Drosophila melanogaster: one gene and its partners. The protein of the gene in region 2 interacts with the protein of the main gene of each other region in a pairwise test. Each region holds a gene or a part of one and is shown on either strand. Other genes may lie near its edges. The genes, in order: Coop, CG31955, inv and CG12299.

The links.
Region 1: the proteins of CG31955 (region 2) and Coop interact in a two-hybrid assay, tested with the Drosophila melanogaster proteins (one large-scale study listed by BioGRID).
Region 3: the proteins of CG31955 (region 2) and inv interact in a two-hybrid assay, tested with the Drosophila melanogaster proteins (one large-scale study listed by BioGRID).
Region 4: the proteins of CG31955 (region 2) and CG12299 interact in a two-hybrid assay, tested with the Drosophila melanogaster proteins (one large-scale study listed by BioGRID).

Annotation. Positions count from the first base shown.
Region 1 is NT_033778.4:7,490,280-7,494,481, forward strand, and holds Coop (corepressor of pangolin), read right to left. Parts: upstream 2,311-4,202; 5' UTR 1,911-2,310; coding exon 1,667-1,910; intron 1,603-1,666; coding exon 770-1,602; 3' UTR 557-769; downstream 1-556. Other genes in the region: CG1620 (uncharacterized protein), read right to left, coding at 4,090-4,202.
Region 2 is NT_033779.5:3,711,381-3,714,503, forward strand, and holds CG31955 (uncharacterized protein), read right to left. Parts: upstream 1,487-3,123; 5' UTR 1,403-1,486; coding exon 1,118-1,402; intron 1,066-1,117; coding exon 889-1,065; 3' UTR 846-888; exon of another isoform or gene 774-845; intron 689-773; 3' UTR 501-688; downstream 1-500. Other genes in the region: cutlet, read right to left, coding at 1-238; CG2818 (uncharacterized protein), read left to right, coding at 2,713-3,111.
Region 3 is NT_033778.4:11,473,901-11,478,729, reverse strand, and holds the start of inv (invected), read right to left. Parts: upstream 3,023-4,829; 5' UTR 2,755-3,022; coding exon 1,461-2,754; intron 1-1,460. UniProt on the Drosophila melanogaster protein: Engrailed (en) and invected (inv) are functionally redundant transcription factors in neuronal precursor cell NB5-3 specification.
Region 4 is NT_033779.5:10,735,438-10,741,262, reverse strand, and holds CG12299 (uncharacterized protein), read right to left. Parts: upstream 3,919-5,825; 5' UTR 3,496-3,918; intron 3,388-3,495; 5' UTR 3,376-3,387; coding exon 1,165-3,375; 3' UTR 501-1,164; downstream 1-500. Other genes in the region: CG6729 (uncharacterized protein), read left to right, coding at 1-384; Vha16-5 (vacuolar H[+] ATPase 16kD subunit 5), read left to right, coding at 4,306-4,887; Nup107 (nucleoporin 107kD), read left to right, coding at 5,318-5,825.

The DNA of each region.
Region 1 (4,202 bases), on a different chromosome or scaffold from region 2:
TAAATTTCAGACTCTACTCATTAGAAGATGAGCTTTCTGTTTAGCGAAAGTTTTTGAAAGTTAAACTCCATCCAATTGGACCCTATTAAGCAAATCGCAGAACTGTTAAGCCCGCCATTATTCAACGAAAGCTTTGAATCATTTTTAAAACATGGGGAGATGTTTTCAGGCAAAAAACACAACACACCAAAAGGGAATTATCAAGTTGCCTAGGCTCGACCAAGTTTCGCCCATCCGGAGCGCATTGTGATTGGTGAGCGGAGAGAGCGAGCGAGAGCGCGGTACATTAGCATTAACGGCGCATGTGGCGCGAAAATGCGGAGGGAATCACCTTGTGGTTGTTGTTGTTGCCGCGTGCACCACCCTTAAAGAACTTGTTTTGCACTGACAGAAATTTTGAGCCGCCCGTGGCTGGAAAAATGCAATTGCAACAGTGACCGTGGATAATTGGGAACTCGAACTGCGGGCGGGGTGCGCAGGTAAAAGGCGCAGGTGCACCGGAGCGCAGATACAGGTAAAAGTGAGCGGTTATCCTGAGGAAGAAACAAGTAATCATGCTGGCGTGATCGTCTATTTGAAGTGTAAATATGTATTGTAATGCAATATGGTATGTATTGAAGTGTGTTGGTATGAAGGAAAGCAGGCCGGAATACTGATTACATGCTACGTATGTAGGCAGATTCACAGAGTTAGTCAGTCGCGTTCTTATAATACTGTAAGCTAGGCTTATAAAGTAAATCTCCCCACATTCCCCCGGATATACGCGTCCTCAGCCAAACTCCAGTTCCTCGATGAGCACGTTCTGTAATTTCTGGCGCACGCGCAGACGCCGGCGGCTGTCCAATCTTTGCAGGAAGGGCATCAGACTGAGCAGGAACATGCGATCCGCCTCGTCCTGGAGATCTCCACCAGAGGGATCCGTATTCGTGGCCACATCCGTGCTGATATACTTGAATGGCAGATCGGCGGTGGGTGACTGCGAATTGGAGAACACCTTGGCCTCCTGCTCGCTCTTCAGGCTGGATCCGCCGTGGCTAGTGTTATTCGCCTTGGTCTTGGTCACCGCCTGCTCCATTTCGTCGTCGTCATCGAGCACTTCTATGGTGAATACACCGGAACTGGCAGCATCGGCACGATTGCCGCGTTCCTCTTCCAAGTTCTCCGAGGCGGCATCTTCGTCGAAGTCATCGTCATCCTCCTCGTCCTCCTCCCTCTGACTGGGCTCCGACTTAAATCTCTTATTCTCCGGCGGCTGGCAGTCGCGATCCTCGAAGAACGAACTGATGTCCGAGAAGCTGGGCTGGTGTAGCTCCGAGTCATAGCTGTGGCTGAGCTCGCATATGGGCTCCGTAGCAACAATGGGCATTGAGTCATACTTGTCCGGCCCCAGCACATTATTGTTCTCCGTCCAGTGTCCGGGTGGGTGCTTCTTGCTGCTGCTTCGCGTCTGACGCATGATATTCTCGTGAACGGCGGGCTCCATGAACCGCATATCGTTGTAGAAGCGCCACGACGAGGGCGTCTCATTGGACAGGTTATTGCGGATGTACACCTTGCGAAAGTTGTCCCTCAGGTGGCCCCACTTAATTCGGCAGATGTCGGCTGTGAAAGGGGGGAGTCATTTTAGCGGAAAGCGCAGAGGAGAAATAGTCAGCCATACACTCACCTGGCAAATTCACATCCTGACCCACCTCGAACCAAACAGGCGTGATGTCGCTGCGCTTCTGGCCATTGGCATTGTTGCGCAGCCACAACATCGGACGTCGTGAGACGGCGGCAATCAGGCGCTTCACCGTTTCGATGGGCAGCTTGGCGGTGTTGGTGAAGGCGAAGGAGGCGGTGGCAGAGGCGGCGGCAGAAGCAGAGCCGACGGAGGCCGCCGACGATGACGCATTGTAGGCCATCTCCATGTCCAGATCCGAGTGGCCAATTTCCGATAGCCCGATAGCTAGTTAGCCAGATCCAGTTCCGATTCCAACTCCGAGTTTCCCGGCAAGCGACTCGCGCAGCTCAAGCGTTCAGGCAGCACTGAAAATACGAAAAATACGGGCACCACGAAGTGTACGGCCCAGCCAGCAACAACCAGTTTACGTGCCTTTTGGCGGTGCCGAGAGAGAATTGTGGAAAGAGCGGACGGAGCTGGTTGCGACGGCACAGGCAAAGGCGAAGGCGGAGCTGCGGGATCGGGAAGGAGGAGAGAGGCTTGAGCAACAGGCTTTGCCACGAACAGAAGACCCAAGAAGAGGAAGAAGAAGCAGGAGAAGCAGAAGAAGAAGAAGCAGGCGCAGGCGAGGCGGCAGAACAACAACTGAGCTGCCTGGCAATATTATCCGGATGTTAAGCTTCCGCTGCGCTGGCCGCAACTCTGTGTCGTATTTGCGCTTTTTACGGTTGTTAACTTCGCCATTGTGAGCCCACCGTAACGAATCTAATATGCTCTGCACCGAAAACGGCTATTGCAATAGAATTCCACCCGTACAGCGACTTGAGCGGACATGTCACGCGCTTTAGCGGTAAAAGTCTTTACATAGAGCTCTATGGCCCACCCTCCCGTTACGCGAAAGGAGATCCTTTTCCAGGTGACCCAGCCGCAGAGACTGGAAATTCATAGTGTAGCGTATAGAGAGCGGTGTAGTGTACTTTGTTTATTTTTATCAAAACTGGATTTTACTACGGTCGGCTGGCTGGGTCGCTTGGAAATGGAGCTGGAGGGAACGTACAAAATTCACGCCACGCCAGTGGAGCCACCGCCACAGCGCACATACATATGTACATTTCTATATACAGACGAGGGTGTGTGGGAACAAAAGCTCCAGCTGGAACGATCGTGAGCCTGGAACCGAAGACTGTATCCGTTGTCTGTATATGTGTACACACGTACATATTAATGTTTATACGTGTATGCTTGCACGTTTCGGGTTGAGTCTCCTCTTCTTGGGACTGCGAAAATGCAAGTGAAGCAGACATGACAAGTGGCGACCGGGGTTATTTATCAGATCTTCTGTAGCTTTGCGGTTGGGTTTCAGCCTGACATTTGATCCTCGCCGCAATTTATACTCGTCTTTCTACCCACAGTGCGAAAAACACACACACACATTCGTATGCACAATGTACGTGGACAGACATGCGGCCAATAAATGGGAATCCAACACCGTAATTGGCCATTTTCAAGAACGCCTTGCAAAGAAAACTGGGGAAAAGATACAGACATACCTAAGTATCTATGTATACGAGATATGTATGTATATTTATACGGACCGGTTCTTTGTTTCCGATCCGGTTAACTTTTAGGGAATACGGAGTACGATTGATCTTTCGTTAAGATGGTTATTTGAAATCCGTCAGCTTGTCTTTTAAGTAGCGATTAAACTAATGCATATTTGATAAAATTTGGTTAATTTTCGTTTAAATATTGTTTCTTCTATATGTAAACAAAGGCTTTTAAAGGGGAAAATACTAGGCCGAATAAATTAATAATATGATGCATACTTTGTTTTGAACCAAATAAAATAAATCATGCTCATCTAAGATATCTAAGATGTACTTTTATGTAATATTAGTATCTGATTTGTAGCGAATCTTACCTGTGAGTCTACAAAGCTTTCGATGTACATATATATTTATCTTTTCTGATCATACATTACTTTCGTAAATTGAGAATTGAAATTCATTAAATTATTGGAGGTTTTAAAACATTTGGTCAAATATCGACAAAACAATAGAATTGACTTTACAGATATACATATTACATTTATTGACATTCAACGAAACTCAAGGATTGAGCGAAAATATATTGTATATATAAGCGATAAGTACTTGGTTCCGGAATCCACACGCACATGTAACAAATAGACGAATCGCACACTTAACAATAGAGAAATTCTTTACGGGTTATGAGAGATGTCGATTTAAGAATCTGGAATATATATGTTTAGACATATGGTATATACTACACGTACAGTATGCATATTTATAGTGAGTGGTAATGGTAATGAAGCGCCCTGCAAATACATCGCCTGGCCCAACCGAATCGAAAGCGCCTGCGCTCGGTTATGATAATGATGATGGTGATTGTGATAGAGATGTCGTTTACACTGTGGACAGGCTGGGTTCTTCCTCGACGTTGTTGTCCTCGTCCTCCAGGGGCAGAGATGCGGATGAGCATCGCTTTCGGTTCCCCCCGGAAGGATTACCTACCGCCT
Region 2 (3,123 bases):
GGCTAGCTCCAAAGGTAATCTGCGACAGCTGTGGCGATCCCAGTGTAGAGTTTCCAAGACGGGTGCTATCTCTTAGTGCCGCAACGGGAGCTCTGTTTTCCTTTTGCTTTTCAGCGGCCTGTTTGGATGTGCTCGGTCCATCGTACGCGTTAAACTCGTCCGGCAAGTCCTCCAGCAGCTCTAGTTCGTCTTGGTATTGCAGCTCGAACTCCTCGTTTTCGTCCGGATACTGATCCATACTGGTTTCAAACGAGCGTCCAACAAACAACTTAATAAAATCCTATTATATATAAACAAATTGTTACACTGGTATTTTCGCGCCAAAATGGCAAACATTAACAGCTGTTCGATGGCAGAGTTGCCAACTATCGTTATCAAAGTGATGGCTGTCACAAGCTGATTGATTTAGTAAGCTTAAATTATTTGATTTATTTTATTTATAAATGCATTGAATGTAAATAAAAATACTTATATAACTAGTTTCAATAATTGGTTTTGATATTAAAATTGGTGCAGGCACTTGGTAACTATGGCACATTTTCCAAACAACTGTTTTGTATTGACTTGTTTACCTTTCTCGTTTCTTCTTCTTCCACTTTGTTTACTGATAAAGAAAGTCCGCCAAAATGGAAGTGAATACGAAAATGAGTATTCTTTGCATTCCTTATTTCAAAATCAAAGTCATTATCTATAATCAGTAAGCGAGAGCACATTTCCCGTTCCCTTTTAATTACAGCTAGCAAAATGACAGAAGAAAATGACGATTCATCTGTAGGGCTGTTGCATTCTTTGTTTATATTATATATATATATAAATGCATGTGTTGATTTGAGCATATATTGAACCTCTATAATAGATATATATGTTGAAGGTGGCTTGCATTCGTCACTATGCAAAGCTTTTCACAACTTTGGTGGACGAAATGGACTTATGACACCGCGGACACTTGATGCAGGTTTCCGGATCTAGAAGTCCTTTGATCTTGTGCAGACACGGATGTATCTGCGTTCTCACGTGTTCCTTTGCTGCGATTGGCTCGGCAATATCCAACCGCTGGTGGAGTATCTGAAATAAAGCAAGTAAAATGTCCAGCATGTGTTCTTCGATTCCTACTCACATTGTAGGCCTCCTTCCATAAACTTGATTTGTAGCTCTGTTTTCTGGGCTCACTGTATTCATAAACACGAATGCCATTTTTTACTCGAACAGCATGCGGATACGGCGGAATGCTGCGCGAAAGTTTCCTAGTTATAATTTTGCCTTCAGCAGAAGCGTAAGCTGAATCCAAAATATTTCGTACACTTAATTTGGAATCCGGCATGTGCGAAACGTGTTTTTCGTCGTCGTATAAATATTCGTATGGTAGATCAGAACTATGAAAAACTACCTTGTCCCCCTCCATGGTGTGTTCGATAAAAAAAATTTGAATTGAAGACGTCTTATCACGAAGAGCTTCTGCGCTCGACTGATGTCTACTGAATACTGCAAGCTTCTGGAATGTAGGCAGATCTGAACACTATGACTCATTTTTACTAAGCTGCATTCGCGCGGGAGGGACATTAAATAAAGTCAAAGTTAATTTTATAATCCTAAGCTACCGGTTTTATTAAATTAAATCTGAAAGAATCTCTTGAGCTAGGTAAACAACCAACAAACTTTTTATTAAGTAGTAACTGAAAGTTCAGAAACTTTGCCTAAATTGCTGAGATACTTTTCGAAAACTGTGAGATACTCTGTTGCGGAAGACGGTCACCCTAAAAATCAGCTGTTCGCGTTGCCAACCTGTGAGAATGCGCTCAAATATCAAATATAAAACTTGTATTTTAAGTGCGTGTAAGTAAGTAGTATGTAGTATATATCTAAAAAGGCATCTACTATTTTTAAGTGCTTTAGGCATTTAGCATTGTGAAAATATTTACTTCATCAAAAACCTATCGATATCTTGACATTCAAATACTTTTCACATCCCTCGCTAGAATCGGTCAGTGGATATATAGATAACAAAATAATGCAACTCACAGTTTCAAGGGGATCGGAAGCCCCTGCGGCGCTGAAATCGTTCAGATAATATAAAGTTATATCCACATTATAGAGTTAAGCCCCCCCGCCACGAAAAGAGAAAAACATCATGTGTTGTTAGCTGAAATCCGTGAGCAAAAACCAAAAACAGCTGCTATGATCAAAAAATCGGGCGACTCCTCAATTTGCACACGTTTGTTATAGTTTCGTGTACGCGTAGGAAAATCACAGAAAATCTAGGAAAATCAAAGAGAGAGAAAGTGGAGGAGAGCGAGAAATCGAATCCAAACAAAGCGATTTCGGCTTATTCTTCTATTTCAGCACACAACAACGCAAAGTAAGTGATACAAGTTATTTATTTACGTCATCCACTGATAAGGGAAACCAAAAACAATTGCGGACTGCAAGTGAAATTAATGTTGTGTTAATATCTTCGAATTACTTGCGCTCGATACAATAAACAACTTGTGACCGCAGCTGAAAATAATTGAAGTACAGTGCGTATACGCTAACGAGCACAGTAGTACTCGAAAAAAAGAGAGAGTTGGCATAAATTACTTGTGCGCATGCAATACAATACAATTATACTGAGTTTCAACAATTAGTTTAGTTCTTTGCTGCTAACTACTATTATTCAAAGTGTATATAGCTAAGGATTATATATAGATATTAATTATTATCCATCCCCACAGAATGCACAACTGGCTGGCCTCACATAACGGCGATGAGGATGCGATGGCTGCGCCATCATCCTGTCCTGCGTCCTCGGAAAACGGCAGTCGATTGGAGTCCCGCCGGATCTTTGGCGACATTACCACCAACAGACTGTGGACCTTTCGGGTGCTGATGAACCAGGATCTGGCGCCCAACGAGCAGTTGGCCATAGTGGGTAATTGCGAGGCGCTGGGCAACTGGCAGCACTCGGGAGCGGCTATTTTGTCCAAAAATGAGGAGGACAATGAGTATAGTAATCTGTGGACAGGAGAGATCTATATTCCGCGTCACTGTGACACGGAATATCGCTATATGGTCTGTGCCGTCGATCCCGGCACGGAGCAGCTGATTGTCCGCCGTTGGGAAACGCAATTACAGGTTCACAAATTC
Region 3 (4,829 bases), on a different chromosome or scaffold from region 2:
TAATTGGGAATCAGGTAGTTAGAAGGGACGACTTTTGATGGATGAATTACAATTATTTACTGATATTTCAACGTTACTTTCTTCAAGCTGGTGTATTAAGATCTATAAAACGTGTGGATAATTGGCTAAAAACTGTCGTAAGTGCTTAAACAGCTGAGCTCGGCAATCTTACAAATTGCATTCAATGATACTTAATAAAGCAATTAAATTTAACTAGTTAAAGATAAAGTAACTCTCGTAATTATATGCCCATTTAAGGCTGATATTGTAATTGAATAATGCTATTGTCAACTACTCTGTTGAACACCAAAGTTTAGTAAGGTCTTAAACGTTTTAATATTGTGTTATAATATCAAGTATCTGTGATAAAATGCATTCAGTCTATTGAGTAAACCTTTGGCAATTCATTACCGATAATAAACTAGCTGAGCAAGCTAATAAAGGTAAACACCTTAACCAAATGACTGCCATCAAGTGGCTTAAATCACTCTCCATTCGCCACTTGAACCACATGATCCATGGACTTACCCGAGATTCCAGGGGATTAGCCAAAAACTATCAAGGAATCCGAATTGCTTGTTCAAACAGCAATAAGCCACCCCATAAATGAGCATATGGGGCACTCCCACCCATCCGATTCCCCCCCAAATTTCAGCCATGAAATTATTAGGCAAACGATTACGAATTCCCTGCGGTGGCATAAACTAAATTCATGAGAGTGCCATGATTGCTGGGAGATTGTTTTGGGGTTGTTCTCGACGGGTTGGGGTGGTGCTGCACACACAAAAACACACACGGGGTGGGTGGGGTGTAGCGGCATAATGAGCTTAAGTTATGTTACATAAGCCATAAGGACATGAAAACCACTCGAGCAGACACTTCACTTCGGGGTGAGTGTTCGCCTCCCTTTCGCTCGCACTCACTTCATTTCGGTGGTTGGCAAACTAATGAGCTGTGGGTTGCTGTGGTTTGGCTCCGTTCGCCGGCTCTTCTGTGGTGTCTGTCGCTTGTTTGCACAACCGCTTTATGAGCCACCACTCAACAGCTCGTCTCCTCGAGTGTGTTTGAGTTTGGAGAAAGAGTGAGTGACTAGCAGTGCACTGCTTTAGCATAAGATGTAAGATGCTTTAGAAAATGCAGGAAATATCCATAGAAACATATGCAAGTAAATAAATTTTGCCAGGATCTACTACAGAATATCTATAATAATACTGGCATGGTGCTGGAGAATCGTATGTTAACGAGAAAACTTGAAACCAAAGGCTTTTCTTTCAAGCTTATGAAGATTAGTATTCAAAACACCAAAACGTAATTTCATAAACTATATTTGCATTCACAAAGTTCATAAAAAGTACGTTAAACGTAGAAATATACAATATTATTTCATCAATATTTGTACTTATGTTTCGCTAGACAACTTAGATAACTGAAGCAAAATTTTTAAAGAGACTTGGACTCACCTGAGCTGGGACGATCGCTGTAGCGGGTGCAGTAGACCCACGCTGGCCAAACGATGGGAGTGCCGGAATCCTCGCCCGATTTACCGGATGCTCCTGTGGCACCCGCTCCTGCCGCTGGCGGTGGCGACTTGACCAGATCCACTGGTGCCCCCGAGGTGTTCGTCGTGCTGCTGCTGGTGGCGGTGCTATTGGAATCGTTGCTGTTGCTGCATATATTCGCCAGCGAGCTGGAGAAGCTCAAGCTCGAGTTGGCGGCGGCGTTACTTTGAGCCAGATTCAGTGGCTTTCCCGACTTCTTGGGCGCCTTTAGGGGAGATCTGTTGCCATTGGTATTTCCAGAATTTTTACTGCTGCCAGTACTGCTCCCACTTACACTGCCACCACCGATATTGCCACTTAAAGCACCAATCTTGGGCAATCTGGAACCAAAGTCCGCCTTCAGGATATTGTCTATGCTGAATTTGAGCGCCCTTTCGTGCAGATTTTCATTGTTATTCAGGTGATTCTGCATGTGATGATGGTGGTGGACCTGATCCCTTTGCAGTAGCAATTGCTGATGGGGATGCACCGCTCCACCGGGTCCCAGACCCAATGCCGTGGCCGTCAGCTGAGCCAGTGCATCCTGACCGCTGGGCACTGTGGCAACCGCCGCCGCCGCCATTGCCATTTGCAGCTGTTTTCCCGCCGCCGCTGCCGTGAGAGCGTTCACCCTGGCGGCGGCCATTAGATGCATCTGCTGTTTCATCAGCTCCTCGGCGTACAGCTGGGACTTTCGCAGGAACTCCTCCTGGAAGGTTCCAGTGGAGGGAGGCAGTTGCAGGAGATCTTCGGGTGAGAAGGGCGGACCTTCGCTGGGCGGCAAAACAGTGGTAGCAGTGCTGCTGAATGCCGACGGTCGATAGATTTGGCTGATCAAAAGCCTCTGCCTGGCCTGAGCTTGAGCGGATAGCGCAGCCTGTGCTGCTTCCGATTGTTCCTGGCCCACACTCAAGACACTATTCTCACTGCAGCAGCTGGCCGGATCCTCCAGGTCCAAATCGTGCTCCTCCTCGACCTCTTCATCCTCTATGTTCAGCTGCTCCTCGCACTCCGTCTGCTCGTCCTCCTCCTCCTCCCGCACTTGGGGCGAGTTGCCCGGCTGGACAAGCGGCAAGGGCAAGCAATCCGGATGCATTTTACCTACTTCCTGGCCACCTCCGCCCGCTCTCCTCTCCTGCGCGTGGTCCTCTGCCTCCTCTAAGGAAGGAATAGTCAGCTTGAGCGGGGGCGGTCGAGTGCTGGCCAAGGTGGACATCAGTTTGAGGGCTTAGGTCTTCAGCTCGAAAGTTCACAGGGACCAAAAGCCGACGGCATTTCAGGGCAGCCAGAAAGCATTAAAAACATTAACCACAGCCAAAAGATATCACTTGGATTGGCAAATACGCCGCGCTATCGTCTTCGATTGACAATTGGTTTTTGGGTTGGGTGATAAACTTGTCGATACCGACGTTAATCCGCTCGTCCGTTAAAAACGTAACGTGCGCTGTTACGAACCGCCGACCAACTGATTCTCTCGCGAACTGAATAGCAAAGCGAGACGGCTGCAGCTGAGAGCCGATTCAAAAAGAGAACTCTCTCTCGCACACGCTCTCTCTCACTCTCCGTCCTGCTCTGGCTTTTCGAACATCCAATCAGCGGCTGCGGGGCGTGCCCTACTGTTGTCCCGCTCGCGCACACGGTCAGCCGCCTGTCAGTTGAGGTTATGTTAAGTGTTTGTATATTTGTTAATTAAGTGCGTCGTCGCCGCAAAAAGAAAAAAGCGAAAAAGAAGGAAAATAGGGATAAGAACTCCACTCCATTTCCATCTGCGCCTTGTCGTTTTGATTATGCGCTGCAGCATTTAAGTCGTAAATCTCACTCTATGTAGGCTGCTCTCGCCCTCCTCCTCCATCATCATCACTTCACTCCCCCTTTCTTTCGCTCCTCTTTGCGGTCTGGCATCTGCAGTCCTTTTTTGCTGGCATCCTATCCGCCGTCCAGCATTATATACCCACACACACATATGGAGTGTGTGCCTGTTTATATACAACACATGCCACAGCTTCCCCGTCTCCTTCACTCCTTCGCTTCCTTTTACTTATTGTTCTTGTTGCTCCGATACAACGAACATTTTTGCGCTTTTTGATGTCATTGTTGTTGTTAGCTGCGCTTTATAAATCACCACCACAATTTTTGTTGCCCCAACATCTGCCGTGATTTCATAATTGCTTTTGATGCTTTTTTGTCGCCGTTTTATTGTTTGTTGTCGTTTTGCCTTCACACATCCCATCGGACAACATTGATGATAGTTCTGCGTAAATGAATACCAATACGTGTGCAATTGCATACGCTTAATCATGGGCGTAGATTCAAAAGCACTGGGGGGATAATGATCAGCTTGCTGGGTTTCTACTGAACACCTTGTCCGGCATTTAAAGACCTCTTAGTAATGCCAAAATAATTGTAATTTAAATTTGGTCCCACAAGCTAATCAATCTGATATCAATAAAAAAATCAAACTTTGATATTCATGATTACTTACATAAGACATTATTTTTAGAATTTAAGTCACTTCGTTCATGTACTATGGAAATTATCCTCCATTCCTGACCAATTTAAGTAGCCCCTTCTCCCGCCAATGAAAATTTGACATACGTTTGCTTGGGCTTGTCTAATTGGCGAACATACTGCATTGTTGCTGTGCTTTGTGCTCATAAATCTGTATTTAGCTTTCCTTTCAAGTATTTGAGACATTTTTGTGTGTGTCATGTGTGGGGTGAAAACGAGTTTGCCTTGTTTGAAGTGAGGTTGTGCAGGGCATGCCGATCACTCTTTTAATTAAATCAGAAAACTTTGTTGTAGTCCACGAAAAGATTTCTAGGAATGGCTGCATTCATTTGCATCATTTGCTGCGGACCTCTTTAGTGACACAGCCGAAATCGGTTAATGTATCATATTTCATATCTGAAATCGACTATCAAAGTTGCACCTTTTCTCCGTTATCGCCGACAGATTGGACATAAAATATCGGAATTCCAGCGATCTTTTTATCGCTGCTGTTGAACCCATAAAGCCCGAATCATGGAGTTTTTCGGGCTGTCCGCGCTTTATTATCGCTTCGAATCGTATTGGTGGAACCACGCCCCGAAATGCAAAGCAATCCAAGCCAGTTTAATAACTTTGTTGCACCATTACAAAGAAGCCAATGCCAGATGCCGACACTGCGATAGTATAAGCACCGACAAACGAATTAATCAGGCTTAATTTCCAGCCCTCGACAAAAGAAACAATTATACGCAGTATGATTAGGAAAAGGAATGGAGTACAAGAAAATAGTTTCATACAGTCGAG
Region 4 (5,825 bases), 7.0 Mb from region 2:
ATGCCGCTCTATTATCCCTGTCCCTGCCGATCCCAGAACAACTTTCTGGCGCAGCTGATGCGCATCCATGTGGTGACGCCCAAGGCGCCGGTCAACATCATCGTGGATCCCAAGGTGTGCGTGGGAAGGTACACCTTCACCATGGGCAGCATAGTACCGCCTCGCCTCTCACAGAGCGCCTACTGGATCATCCGATTGCCCTACGTCTACCAGGGTGACGATGTGCTCATCGCTCCGCCCGAGCAACTGGATCCGGGCTATCCGCTGACCGGTGGCTATCTACTGCCTGGGATGTTCGGAGTGGTGGAGACGGATCCCACACTGGATTTGAATGAACCTGACAAGATGGGCGCTTCTGCAGCGGGAAATTTCACTAGGATTTAAGAGTCCACACAAATGAATACAATAAAAACCATTATGATCCTGTACCTCTTACCAGAGTTCCACTGTTAGAACAGTGAATAAATCAAAAGCCTTACCCAAAAAAGACAAGTCTGCGTGCTTAAATATAACGATTAATGTAATCTCTTCAGGCGATTCTGGGAAATACGCGACGTGGAATAGTTGGAGTCGTTGTGGCTCCAACTTGGGTAAGGGTATATCCCTTGGGATGTAAAATGAGCAGCATAAAGTAGGGCTTAATACTAACAAAATGTAATATCTTTGTAAGATACTATGCAAATACAATACGTCCATTTCCTGGACAATCTTCTTTAGTCGTGTGGGCTTCGTGTGATATGAGATACAAAACTGGAATTTCGCTTTCGGTTGCCCAAAATGTGCCACAAGTTGTACTGGGAATGCTCACAAAATCGCTTTTGATCTTATGATTAGTAAAAAAAAAAAAGGTTCTTGGTGGTTCCATGGTTAATAGATAAGTAACTGATCTTTCGCGTACCGAGTTGAAACTTTGAAGGTTTGTTGTGTGCTCTGGGAATCCTACATGGTAACCTAACAACGATAAACTGTGAGTTAAGTACTTTTGGAACACTTCCGACAAATGTCTTCTCTGTAATACCACACGACATCATTAAACAAAATTAAGTGTATAAAAAAAGTGCGGTCAGCACATTTTGTGATCCAAACGTAGTTAAGAACTGTCGTGCCTTTCAATGTAAATATGAATTACTTTCGTAAACTATGGCCAAATCTTAGTACCTAGATCTAGATGAGCGCATCGGTGTAAACCTCCTCCTCGTTGACGACAAAGTCGCCGAACACCTCCTCCTGACAGCCCACGTCCATGTCGCCGAAGTCCTCGTAGTACATGTCAGAGTCTAGCAGGATCTGTTCCTCCTGCAGCCCGAGAATGGGATAGCCCGGATTGGTGAGAGCGTCCTCTGCTGCCAGCACTTCCGTTTTCACCTCCGCCGGCTCCTCTGGTTCATCTTGTTCCTCCTCCTCATCCGGCGGTTCCTCCGCTTCGTCGGGCTCTTCTTCGTCCTCGCCGGTGGAGTCCATGGCTGGCAACTTGGGCTGCTGCGGTAGCTGCATCTGATGCGGCTGTTGTTGCAGATGCTGCTGCTGTTGTTGTTGCGGATGTTGCTGTTGTTGTTGCGGAGGTTGTTGCTGGTGCTGTTGATGCTGCTGCTGATGGTTCATCTGCTGCAGGACGCACTGAACCCGCTCCACATAGGCTTGCTGCTCCTCTGCACTGCACTTGACGTCTGGAATCGCTCCGCCCGGCGCCGTGTTCATTCCGGACTGCTTCATCGTGTCCAGCAGCGCTGCGTGCTGGCTGTGCACATGGCTGGCCAGTGCAGTGGCATCCGCATGCAACGATCCGCAGACAATGCAAACGAGTGTTTCGTGCGGCTGCTTGGCGACCAGCAGGCCAGGCGACGTGGATGCGGAGGCGGCCGAAGCCATCTGGTGCGCCTGGATGTGCTTGTTGAGGTACGCCTGCTGGCTGTACGACTTGCCGCATATGGGACACGGGTAGGGCTTCTCGCCCGCATGGATCTTCATGTGAACACTCAGACTGGAGGCCTGTGTGAAGCACTTGTCGCATAGCTTGCACTGGAACGGCTTTTCGCCGGTATGGATGCGCATGTGGATGTTCAGGCTACCCGACTGCGTGAACGAGCGGTCGCACAGCGAGCAGGTGAATGGCTTCTCGCCCATGTGGTTCTTCATGTGCTGTACCAGCTCCGAGCTGGCGCGGAAGGCCTCGCGGCAGATGGCGCACTGGTACACCAGCTCCTGCGTATGCATGCGCATGTGCTCGTCGAGCAGCGCCTCCGCCTTGAATTCGCGCTCGCACTCCGGACAGATGAACGTCTCCGTGGGCGCGATGTGCGTCTTCTGGTGCAGCAGCAGCGAGCTGTAGTTGATGAATCCCTTGTCGCACTGCACACACTGATGCGGCTTGCGCACCGAATGCGAGCGCATGTGCACCATCAGGCTGCTGGACTGCGTGAAGGCCTTCGGGCAGAGCTCGCACTTGTACGGCTTCTCGCCGCTGTGGATGCGGATGTGCGTGTTCAGGCTGCCGATGTGCGTGAATGTCTTCTGGCAGATGGAGCACTGGAACGGCTTGTTGGTGATGTGCGAGCGCACGTGCTTGGACAGATCGCCGGCGTTGGGAAAGCTCGCCTCGCAGTGCGTGCACTGGAAGCATTTCTGGTTGCCATTCAACGCTGGATCCATCACGGGTGCACCGATGTTGCTCCGCCTTCCGCGCCGCCGCTTGATGGGCGTCGATTGCAGGCCCAATCCCGGGCTAACAGTGGGTGCCGGTGGTAGTAGCTGCTGCAAGGGCGTGACGCTTACGGTCGGCTGCACCATGAATATGGAGGTGGACTCCCGCGGATCTGTCATCTGCAGCTGGAACTCATTGTAGCCCGGACCGGCAACCAGGCCGTGAAGTGGCTGCACTGACTCCTGGCTCTGCTGGGTATTGGAGTTGCTGGTGGTCGGCACCGAGCTGCTTGATGAGCTCGAGTTGCTGGAACTCGAACTGGAGCTGCTGCTGTCGTCGTCGTCATCGTCATCGTCGTCGTCCGACGACGAGGAGCTGTCGGAGCCCGAGGAGGCGCTCCCATCCGACGAGTCGCTGCCATCCTCCGCCAGCTCGCACACCGGCTCGAATATCCAGCTGTAGTCCTCGCTCTCGTCGCCCGGGCTCTCCTGCTCTTGCTGTCCATTGCCCGGCTCATGGGGGTGCAGGGTGTTCATGTGCTGGTACAGCGCCAGCGGATGGACGAAGAACTCCGCACAGCACATGCAGTGGAAGGTGAGATCCGGCGGCTGTGGCTGCTGCGGTTGCTGCTGGGGTGGATTGGGTGCCTGTTGCGGCAGGAGGTGCGTCTGCTGCAGGATTGGCGTGATCGTCAGGGGCAGGTGGTGGTAGCTCTGTTTCAGCTGCACGGCCATCTTGCCAAAAGGCTGTGCAAATCAAACAACAAAAATCACAAGGAACACAAGCGACGAGCGTGTGAACATTTTCTCTATAATAAAAATGCGCGTTTGCGGGGAGAAAAATCAATGCCGTACCTTGGGTGAGATTAGATGCGAAGTGCCGTGGATCAGGGGTTCCGTAGACTACTATTATATCACTGGTGTGTGCTGTTGCTCAGGTTCCGTGCTTTTGTGTTTCTCTCAGGGCTCTCGTCCACATTCGTCCACTGCGTTCCATTTTATGCGCCGCCAGCGAAATGCGAATAACTTGCTTCCTGTTTTCGGTGCTCGCTTGTTTTTGAATTTGGCTGCTCGGTTCCGTGGGTCGCCGGAATCGCGTACCGTCCTCCGACCCGTTGTCTGGTTAGCTGCGACTGCCAGGAGCTGCGACTCGAGCGAATGCAGCGCATCGCCCAATCGCAATTCTGCAGAGCCAAAATCGCAATTGCAAGCGTCTTCGCCGTGCGTACAACAAATAAAAGAAAAATGTTTTATGTTGGGCGGCCCTTGCACGATTGGACGGCAGCATATCGTCATGCAAGCGTTTCGTGCACGTCGCCAGCATGATGACCGATAAACCGCGCAGCTTCAAATTCAAACCGCAATCGATTGTTACATCTTTCGAAGGTTTTAAACATTTAATAATATTTAATTTAATTTCGAGTGCCTAAATCTAAGCAAGTTTTATTATTAGTGTTTAATTTCACTTAACAAGTTGCTAAAATTATTGAATTGAGCCCTAACATCTTAAATAATATTAATATTAAATATAAACTGCTCATCTCGTTCCCCTTGGATTTTCTTTCTTGCCAAACTACAGGCTAGTCAGACTAACAAGTTGGAAAATCCAGAAAGCAAGCAACGTGGATCGTTCCTTTTCAAGTAAATACGAAAAAGGCTACCAAAATGGAAATGGATTACTATCTGCCAGTGTATAACGGATCAAATTCGGTGGACGTGCCGGGGCTGATTGAAAGTCTCAAGCTGAAGGAAACCAGTATATCGCCAATCGTGCTGGATCGCTATCCGCCGTACTCCCCGTTCTATGGCGTGATGGGCGTCGTATTCTCCAGTGTGCTGACCTCCGCTGGAGCGGCCTACGGAACTGCTGTTTCCGGAACTGGAATCGCCGCCACAGCGGTGATGCGTCCCGAGCTGGTGATGAAGTCCATCATTCCGGTGGTCATGGCGGGCATCATTGCCATATACGGTCTGGTGGTATCCGTGCTCCTATCTGGGGAACTAGCGCCTGCTCCCAAATACTCGCTGCCCACCGGCTATGTACACCTGGCCGCTGGACTTTCGGTGGGATTTGCTGGACTGGCTGCCGGATATGCAGTGGGTGAAGTCGGCGAAGTGGGCGTGCGGCACATTGCCCTGCAGCCACGCCTCTTTATCGGCATGATCCTGATCCTTATTTTCGCCGAGGTGCTCGGTCTCTACGGCCTGATCATTGGGATTTATTTGTACACGGTCAACATTAAGTAGCAGAATTTGTTATATCTAAAATATTTAATTCGTTAAGAAACGTTTTTATCGATCTTTAATATTTGAAATGCCTTTTGAATTTCTTTACGCGATTGTGGTACTCATTTCAGGTACGCCGTTGCGGTACGCGATGGAGGTACCCCATACTAATGATTCTACGGAATGCTGGTACCTTATTCTTTAGCAGCTTTGCCGAATTACTAGATATGTAAACAATTTAAATCAATTTGTTTCTTACGAAATTTGCTTGAATTCAGTGAGAATCGCTTATTTACAAGTGTATGTGCAAGGGAGCTTTCTTGCTGTTCCGTCATCTGGTAACACTGAACGCTCCCGGCATTTTTAGCGAATAGCGCGTGAATTTCTGTTTTGATTAAATTAATTGAATTGATGTGCCGTAGCTGATAGCCAAGAAACGCATAGTGCAGCCATGGCCGACAGCCCGTTCCCGAGGAGCAGCCGCAGTGGCCTGCTACGCACGACGCTGAACAGCTCGATGCCGCCGCAAAATCTCTCCCACTCGCTGCTCATCCTCGAGAAGAGCAACGCGGAGCAGAATGAGCTCTCGCTGATGGAGGACACCGGCGATGATCTGGATCGGGGCAAGAGCCGCATGGACGTGCTCTTCCCGCAGTTCTTCGACGTGCTGCAGGCTCAGGGTAACGGGCAGGAGGCATTCGAGGTGATCCAATCGCTGACGCAAGTCTGTCGCGGCGTGGTGGAGCAGCTGGAGCTGGAGATCGATCACGGCATGGGTGGGGAACAGGGCGCGCGGCAACGCGAGTCTATGCTCACCTGGCTGCGACAGGAGATAAACACGTGGCGCCTGCTGCACGCCCTCTTCTACGACCGCATCCTGCTGCAGACGGACAGGCAGGCGGATGATGAGATGCAAGATGGCCCCACGCTCGGCGGCAGCGAGAAGGAGGTCATACAGC